Rattus norvegicus: one gene and its partner. Each later gene encodes a partner of the first gene's protein in a complex. Links are inferred from orthologs where the notes say so. Each region holds a gene or a part of one and is shown in the gene's direction. Other genes may lie near its edges.

Evidence for each region.
Region 2: the proteins of Kit (region 1) and Socs6 are in contact, whole or in part, in a crystal structure (PDB 2VIF), measured with the Homo sapiens proteins. The link is inferred for Rattus norvegicus from reciprocal best matches to the Homo sapiens genes KIT and SOCS6. Residues at the interface, in NP_000213.1 of Homo sapiens: Asn566, Asn567, Tyr568, Val569, Tyr570, Ile571, Asp572, Pro573, Thr574; in NP_004223.2 of Homo sapiens: Arg391, Glu395, Arg409, Asp410, Ser411, Ser412, Asp413, Ser419, Phe422, Thr428, Leu429, His430, Thr431, Arg432, Phe442, Tyr443, Glu444, Gln445, Val448, His460, Asp464, Ala469, Phe470, Cys471, Tyr472, Ser473, Arg474, Ser475, Arg476, Thr482.

The regions. Positions count from the first base shown.
Region 1 is NC_086032.1:32,975,800-32,980,084, reverse strand, and holds the start of Kit (mast/stem cell growth factor receptor Kit precursor), read left to right. Parts: upstream 1-1,272; 5' UTR 1,273-1,316; coding exon 1,317-1,383; intron 1,384-4,285. UniProt on the Homo sapiens protein: Tyrosine-protein kinase that acts as a cell-surface receptor for the cytokine KITLG/SCF and plays an essential role in the regulation of cell survival and proliferation, hematopoiesis, stem cell maintenance, gametogenesis, mast cell development, migration and function, and in melanogenesis.
Region 2 is NC_086036.1:84,404,849-84,409,140, reverse strand, and holds the start of Socs6 (suppressor of cytokine signaling 6), read left to right. Parts: upstream 1-1,341; 5' UTR 1,342-1,467; intron 1,468-1,617; exon of another isoform or gene 1,618-1,690; intron 1,691-4,292. UniProt on the Homo sapiens protein: SOCS family proteins form part of a classical negative feedback system that regulates cytokine signal transduction.

The DNA.
Region 1 (4,285 bases):
CTCTCTGCTTCATGAGGTTAACTGTAAACCCGGATACTGGGATACAAAACTATAAGAACCTTTCCAGAGCAGATTGTTATTGTCCACTCACAGATAGCCACGGTGACTGTAAAATGTTCCTAGGTAGAAACTGTCTTAAGATTATTACTTTAGGAGTTGGAGAGATAGGTCAATAGTTAAGAACAAGAAAATTAAGACTAATTGAGCTCCAGGAACCCACAAGGTGATCCACAAACATCTGTAATTCCAGTTTCAGGGGATCTGACATCCTTCTTCTGACTTCCCTGGGCACCAGTTACACACGTGGCACACACACATTCACGTAAATAAAACACTCATACACATTAAAGAAAAACTTTAAAAGAAAATTATTTTACTTTTTTCTTGCCCCTAAGGCGGACCAGAGTCGGAGGGAGGTGGGGAAAGGGGCGCGAGGGGCGGGGGGGAGATTGAGGGTGAGATAAAAATAATAACACAAAAGAAAAGGCACCCAAATGCAAATGGGCTTTAAAAACCATTATTTCAAAGCTAACTACTTCACCGGGAGCCTCTTCTTACTCCACTGGCCCAGTTTCCACAAGTCTCAGCAGGAGCTTGGTTGGGTGGAGGTCCACGCTGGCCAATAGAAATCAGCTGTATTCTTACAGGTTTCGCAGCAGGTGGAGAAACTGAGCGTGAAAAATTACTTAAACGTGGGCTCGGTCTTTTACCGAGGTCAGGGACGCCCGCCTGATTTGTCCTCCTCTACTAACAGGAACAGAAAGAAATGTTGGGGACCCAGTTTCCTAATCCCTTCGCCCCGCAATCCCGACTAGTAACACCTCCATCATTAGCCGAGTATATTCTCCCCGCTCCTGAGAGTGTTGGAGGGACCTGTGGTTGTCCTTTATTGTCTAGAGAGCACCTGCCAGGTGGCTGGCCCGTGCCTAATGCGCGCGTGGCGCCTGGCTTCACAAAGCGCGGGCAGCACCTGCGTGGTCAGCCAGCCGCCTCGGGCTGAAGAACCACCGACGGAGGGAGAGCGCTGGGAGGGAGAGGATTCTGGGTGGAGGGCCTATGGGGGCTCCAGGTCTTAGAGGGCACAGCGCCCCTGGAATCAGCATATTCCAGTCCGAGAGCCCCGGGCACCAGGCAGCGGGAGGGAGTGCGACCCGGGCGGGAGAAGGGAGGGGCGTGGCCACGCGCTGGGAGGAGGGCTGGAGGAGGGGCTGTCGCGCGCCGCTAGTGGCTCTGGGGGCTCGGCTTTGCCGCGCTCCGTGCACTTGGGCGAGAGCTGTAGCAGAGAGAGGAGCTCAGAGTCTAGCGCAGCCACCGCGATGAGAGGCGCTCGCGGCGCCTGGGATCTGCTCTGCGTCCTGTTGGTCCTGCTCCGTGGCCAGACAGGTGGGAAAGAGCGGCAGGCAGGAGGATTGCACCCCCTGTGGGCGCAGCCCGGGTCCGGGAGGGGTGCCACCTGGGTGCGTCCAGAGTGGTAGCTTTTGGCTTTTCCCAAGCCTGTGTGTTACAGCTACAGCGAAGGTGGCGGGCGGACGCTGGACTCCGGTGGCTCGCCTCGCTCACCTGAGCTGGGAGACCGCAGCCCAGGCAATGGAGACCCGGGGCCGAGGGTCTTCTGGGAGCCGGGACAGCGGCTGCAGGCTGCGGGCGAGTTTGGTGATGCTTTTGTGCCGACTAAGCGCGGCCTCGGGCTTCGCAGGGAGAGCGTCCTCTTTCCTAGTGAGGTGCTGCCACGGCTCCCTTTTTGTTAAAAGTTGCGCGTGGGTGACCGGCGCCCGGGAGGACCAGCCCACGGGTCCCCGGACGCACGCTGGGCAAACTTGGAGAGCCTTTTCTCGGGGCCGCTGCTTCCCCAGCTCGGGCGCTCTTTGTGCACAGTGCTGGGGGCTCAACCGCAGCCGCTCTCGTCGTGCGCGGCGCCACCCGTGGAGACGAATCTCGGGCTTGCTTGTCCCCTCCCCCCCGTTTTTTTGCACGGGGAGCACGCGGCGTGAGGCTCTGGGGCGGGACCCCACGAGCCTGTAGGTGGCGGCTATGGGGACAACTTGAGCCGGGCGTGTGGCGAGCAGCCGCTAGGTTGCAGACTTTTTCCTTTTGTAAATCTCGTGCTAGAGACTCGCCCCTCTCTGCAGCCGCACGGTGTTCATTGCTGCCACGCGCCAAGGGAGCTGCTGTAGCCTACGTTGGCTGCCAGCTTCTGGGAAGCAGCGACTGCGTGCGGGGACGCAGCTGTTCTTGCCACCTCGTGCGGGCTGCAGCAGGACCAAGTCAGCCCGCTCCAGCTTTGGAAACCTCTGGTTTTAGTGTGTGTGCCTTGTAATCGCAGGTGGCCTTTTTTGCGGGGGATCCCGAGATCCTGACACCCTCTCCCTCGTGATAGCCATACTCAGGGCTGCCTAGGGAGGCTAGGTGGTGGGGGTGAGGGGTGAGAGTAAGCGTCCTGCAAATAGCATTTGTTTCTGTTCTGAAAACCTTGTTACCTCTGGAGGGTAACTTGGGTCTCCAGATCTTGAGGCTCCTGGAGCTCCTCAGCCCTGCCCCTTTTTGCCAGGTGTCGCTGGTGCACTGCCTGTGCAGGTTGCCTGATTAGTCCCGGAAAGCTTACTCTCTCCCAGGTCATTTTCAAAACAAAACCCAGGAACCTTTTAAGGTTACCCTGATGCACTAGAGAACAATCTGCGCGCTGGAGTAAAGCGTCAGATGGCCAGCATCTCTGTGACCTGTTTTGAGCCTACCGTTTGGCGGTTGCGTTTTCCTGATCTCATTCCCTCAATGCTTTTGAAAGGCCGGGAGAGGGCTTTCCTGTGGGGGAAGCCTTGCAACGGAACCTCTGCACTAGGGGAGGGGTCATGGGGGGTCACAAATGAGTGTTCAGATTCCTAGGTGTATTTGACCAGTTAGCTGAAAATGACCCCAGTGATCTTTGTGTTTTCCACCTTGTTCTGCTTTAGACCAAGGTGGAGCACCACAAAGATCACAGTTCCCTTTTGAAAACAGAAACGGGTCAGTGGTGTGCATTTTCCCCCTGGTTAGTGTGCTCTGGCCAGTAACTTTTTGGCAAAGGGAATTTGAAGGTCTGATTCCTGGCACACAGTGTGTTTGTAATTCCCTTCTCTACCCCAGTTTCTAACCTTCTTTGCCTCCCTGGTTGTGTGCCCTTGGGCGGTCATTTAAATTGGGAGTGGGTGGGGGGCTTGGGTTTCCCTGAAGGTACTTGAAAACATTTGCATCATGAAGGATCAGGGGGAGTTCAGAATTTCAGAAAGCTGCTTTCTTGTCTAAGGGCCATTTGGGGTGTGTGTGTGTGTGTGTGTGTGTGTGTGTGTGTGTGTTTTTTTTACTGTTTTGCTCCCGGCTTAGGTTTAGCGGGAAGCAGTTTGTATTTTTGTTTATGTTGTAGCCTTTGGAGGGCTAACATGTGCCTGCTTTGCAGTTACCCCTCCTTCCAGGGCATTTACAGCTCAACAGGATGGCTCAACAGGATGGCCCTAGAACAGTGAATCAGACGTCCCCCTGTTCCTGCAGGTGCAAGCCTCTAGTCATTCATGCACCTGGCATTCTGGTTTATGATCCTGCTGGAAATAATCTGATAGTTCCGTGTGAAGAGATAGACCCTAATAGTTAAACTTCTCCCCCATTCCGGGCTTTCCCCACCCATCCACACATTCCTTTTTCCTATGACGTTATAAATGGCATGCCTGCCGTGCTTGTGCAACACGCTTTCTAGTGTGCTTTCCATATTATATCATGGATGTGCTTTGTGCATATGTGGGGCTTCACAATCAGCAAATGCCTGCCAGGCCTCGAACTGAGAGCTTTGCCTGCCATTTCTGTACTCAGGGGGCACAGGAGGTTGGACCACAACAGCGTCTATTCCCTCTCCTCTACTGTTTTCCAATTGGAGGATAAGTCACTTGGCCAAAACAGCCAGCGAAGGAAGCCGAGCTCAGCTCCATGTGCATCCCTTATACAGAGTCTGTTGTAAAGTAAGATACTTACAAAAGTATTTAATGAGTGGTTACAATAAGTCCAGCCCTGTTGGAGGTTTTGGGGGTCCAGGACTGCTCATCTGGGTAAGATGGCTTCAGGCTGCCTGTTTTAGGATGTTTTGGTTAGTCTTCTCAATTTGAGGGATAATTTGCCAGGACGGTTCACTGCTGTATAGCTTGAATGGGGTATTCGAGACTATCATATGAGGGTTTTGGTGGGGGGACAGGAAGATAAGTTATCTCTAAAATGAAGTTGAAAACCATTCCCAGCCCCCTCAAATAGAAATGACGATAGCATT
Region 2 (4,292 bases), on another chromosome or scaffold:
AAGTTCAGACTGGAGTGTTTATGAAGTTAGCTTAGTTGCATGCCACTTCTCTAGAGGATTTCAGCTTGGAATCTGGTACACACAGCTCTTATTGCCATTGATGCCAGCAGTTTAATTTAACCCTGGGATTTAGGCATTTGTATTTCTGTCTTCATGAACAGTTGTCTTGGTTTGCTAGGAGAGATATAGAAGCAGAGACAGAAAGAGCCTGTAAGTCTAGAAGTTTTTCCCAAGGGGAATTCCTTGTTTTCCTTCTTGAGTTGCTGAAACTCACACTTGTAGAGACTTCCTTAAAAGGGGCGAGGTGGTGCCTTTCTATTTGGTACTTTTGTCTCAGAAAATGTTGCTCTAAGTATTTGGTTTATGGTCTGGTTGTGTATAGAATTTTAGGTACTATTTACTCAGGAGAAATATGTTATGTGGCACTGATGAATTAACCCTAAAATCTCACTGTGCTATAAAGGATGAAACTTGGCTTTTGCTTTTCTAGTTTTTGGAGGGATGGGTCCTTGTGACTTCTTTGGATCCGTCTGCTCTTCTGTAATTGCTGTCCTACCTCGGGCAAGTGGAGAGGATGGCAGGTCCAGAGTTCAGCATATGGTTGTGCAAGAATGCCAGGGACTGTGGAAGACTCAAGGAGAAAGAGCCTTTGAACTTTTGGGGTGACAAAGTTGGAGGTTTGAAAGCATTCCCCATCATCATATGCCTTTCACTGTAAAGAACTTGGGCCAGCTAACTCTGGTTTACAGCAGTTGTTTCTTCCTAGAATTTTTTTGTAGTTTTTGTTATATCTGCTTATACTAAAACCTCATAATGGTTTGTATCATTATTATTCTTTTATTCTTAAAATGTATAATTTCATTGATTTTTAAACTTATGCTTTCTAGGAAAGAGCTTAAGCCTTCATTTGTAATTTCTTCCCTCTCATTTTTTGTTTTGACTTCTCTGAAGTTTTGTTGTTCTTGTTGTTGTTTTGATTTTTCTTTTTTTGCAGTAGGAAGTCCTGGATTGATTTGTTTATTAATTATTTTTTATTTTCTCAGTTTTTCATGGCAGTCTGGGGGGGGGGTTGTTTTTGTTGTATTTAAATCTTTAATGGATTCTGGTTATCTAACCTTCCTGCACTGCCTGGACTTATTTCAGAGTTGTGATCTTTCTCAGGGGTGTGTCTTCTTGTCCTCCATTCTAGGAGGCTTGACTTGTGGTTATTTTTTCAGTGCTGGATCTAGGAAGTAGGCCTTGGCACAGGCGCACTTTCACTGAGCTACTGCGGGTGCCGCAGCTAAGGCTAGCCTAAGCCTTGTAACTGTTCCCAGTTGTCATACTTTTCTTTTGCTTTCAGGTTTTCATTTTGTCTGGGGAAATGGTAGCATGCTGGTCAGATTTTTGTCAACTGGACATAAGCTACAGTTATTTGGGAAGAGGAACTCTAAATTGAGAAAATGCCTCCATAAGATTTGTCTGTAGGTAAGTCTATAGTACATTTTCTTGATTAATGATTGATGTGGGAACAGTGACACTTCTGGGCAGGTGATCCTGGTTGATAGAAGAAAGTAGGCTGAACACGCCATAGGGAGCAAGCTAGTAAGCAGTATTCTTTCATGACTTTTGCTCCAGTTCCTGTTTTCAGGTTCCTGCCTTGAGTTCCTGACCTGACTCCGATGGACTGTGATCACAATGTGTAAGCCAGGTAACCCTTTGCCTCTCCAAATTGGTTTTAGTCATGGTGTCTTAAAGCACTAGAGACCCCAGCTAAGACAGGTAGCAATTAACTTGTATGCTCTTTCTTGGTCATGATGGGTTTTTGTTGCTGTTTGTTTTTTGAGACAATTTTGCTGTGTTGCCAAAGCTGGAGCTCACTGTGTTGTCTAGTTTAAGACCCTCTGTAGCTCCTCATTCTTATGCCTCAACCTCTCAAGTGATAGGATTGTAGGCCTGTACTACATACCCTGCTCAAGAACTTTATGGTTAATTAGGCCTTCAGAAAAACCAGCAATTAGCTGGCTTGTCTTCCCCACCCCTCTTTTTTTTTCTTGTGTTAGAGCTCAATCTCAGGCCTTAGTTTTCCATATAAGATAAGTAAGCACTTTGGGCTATATCTCCAGCCCAAAGCCAGATGATCTACAGTAGACAATATGAATAGCTTTAAGTTATATCATATTATTTACATTTATTTATTTTGGGGAGGTAGGTTTGTGTGCATGTGTGGAGATCAGACAGTAACTTATAGGAGTTGTTTTTCTCCTTTCACTATTTAGGTTCTGGGATTGAACTCAGATCATCAAGTGTGGCAGTATCAATACCCTTTACCTGCTTGTAGAGCCAACTCACTAGCCCATGATGGATAATTTTATTTTAGCTAGATTAGTTTACAAAACAATTAGTCTTTTTGTGAGATTGTTAATAGTTTTTGGTTAACAGGGCTGCATTGCTTAATTATTATTCTCGGAGATTTGATGGATAAAGTTTACCCTACCTCTTTGTACGTTTGATAGTAAGTCTTGTGTGAATTACTTTTTATATCTCATATTTGTTATTCTAAAATCTTACTTTTTTAAAGTTTTTCCCACTTATCTCCAGGTCCCATCATATCTGCCCTTTACCCTTGTAACTTTCCCCCCAAAATAAAACACACACGCAAAAGCATAGAAAGTTCATTGTAGAAGCTGTAGTGTGTCACAGTTGTCCCACAGTATATTTCTCTGTCTATATATCTTCACTTGCAAATGTTCATTGTAATGAGTCATTGGTCTGGTTTGAGATCTCTGGTTTCTGTGACACCATTAATATTGGATCCTGACTGAGACTTCCCTGTTATCCTCTTATTGCCCTATGTCATGGAGATCCTGAAATTTTGGATTAACAAGATTGGCCCTTTTATGTTTTCCCACCATTCACAGATGATAGAGTGAAATTCTTAATTCAAGTGTAATTTTGAAAATGCAATTGTTTTTTACCATAAGCTCATAACTTACAGCAGAGATTAAAAAAGCTAGTGTGTTTTTTATGCAAAAGCATTGAATAATAATTTCTTTTGGGATTGGAACTTCTGTGTTATGACCTACAGACTCTGAGAACAATCAAAGAAACTTTGTTACTCTTTAGTCATTATTTGTATGTTTGTGTTGTCTGTCAGAATCTGAGTTAAGCTTTCTTACTATAGTAGTTCAGTGCATCAAAGAGATTTTTATACATGAGCATGTTCTTAGAGAAATCACGTGATAGCATCATTCTGTTGTATTCTACCCAGAGTAAAAATGTAGATCTTCTTTGAGTTTTATGTAATTGTTCAATTTGTTTAAAACTCATCAAGAACTTAACCTACTTGATATCTTAACCAGAAAGGATACACTTATTTCATAGGCAGTGCAAGTGATGAGCATTTTGGAGAATGTATAATATTTCAGCTGAAACCATTCTGTTGACATTTATCAAACTGTTAGTTTCTTTTAATTTTCAACTGTCAGTTATGTCGATGTATCCATGAATTCTATTAAAACAATTACATTTACAACACAGACAGCGTTTATAATATTATATAACTTATCACTAAATATTACAATAGATCTTTTCAAAAAGTCAAGTATAATTGTGACTTAGTCAACAAAGTGGCTATGTGGGAACATGCCCAAGATTTCCTTTATCAGTGTTGCCCTTGTGCCACTGGTTTATTTTTAAGGAAGGAGTTTGTTGAAATGCTCAATAGTTATTTTATAGATGACCTGGATACAGAATGAAGGAGTGGGTATGTTTGTTACCATGTATTTTTAGTACACTAATTCTCCAACATAAAAACTGGTGTCTTCCACTATGCCACTGTTCAGAGTAGCACAGACCTCTCAGGTACAACAGTCCACAGACTTCTTCATACAGATGCCCTCTTGCTGATTCACCATAAGTCAGAGGTTCTCATAATGACCTCTTCTGATTAGATAATCTGTAGAACTCAGTAAAATACTTAGTTGATTGGTTTATTGTAAGGATTACATACCAGGAAAAGGTGAATAGAAAAGCTGCATGGGATGTGGTGTTGGGTATGATTTACAGCTCCTATGCCCCGTTAGCATGCCCTGCTCCCCCAGTACCTCTGTGTGCAGAAACTGGTGATCTATTAAGAGTGTTTTTAGCACCTGATCAATCTCTTGCTCTTTTTCTTTATTGACTAAGTTTTTATTCCCTTTACATCCTGATCATAGCCCTTCTCAATCTTCTAACTCTTCCCTTCCCTTCTGATGTGGGAGTAGGGCCAAAAGTTCCCACTCTGTAGTGTAGTCTAAGTCACAACTCTGCTG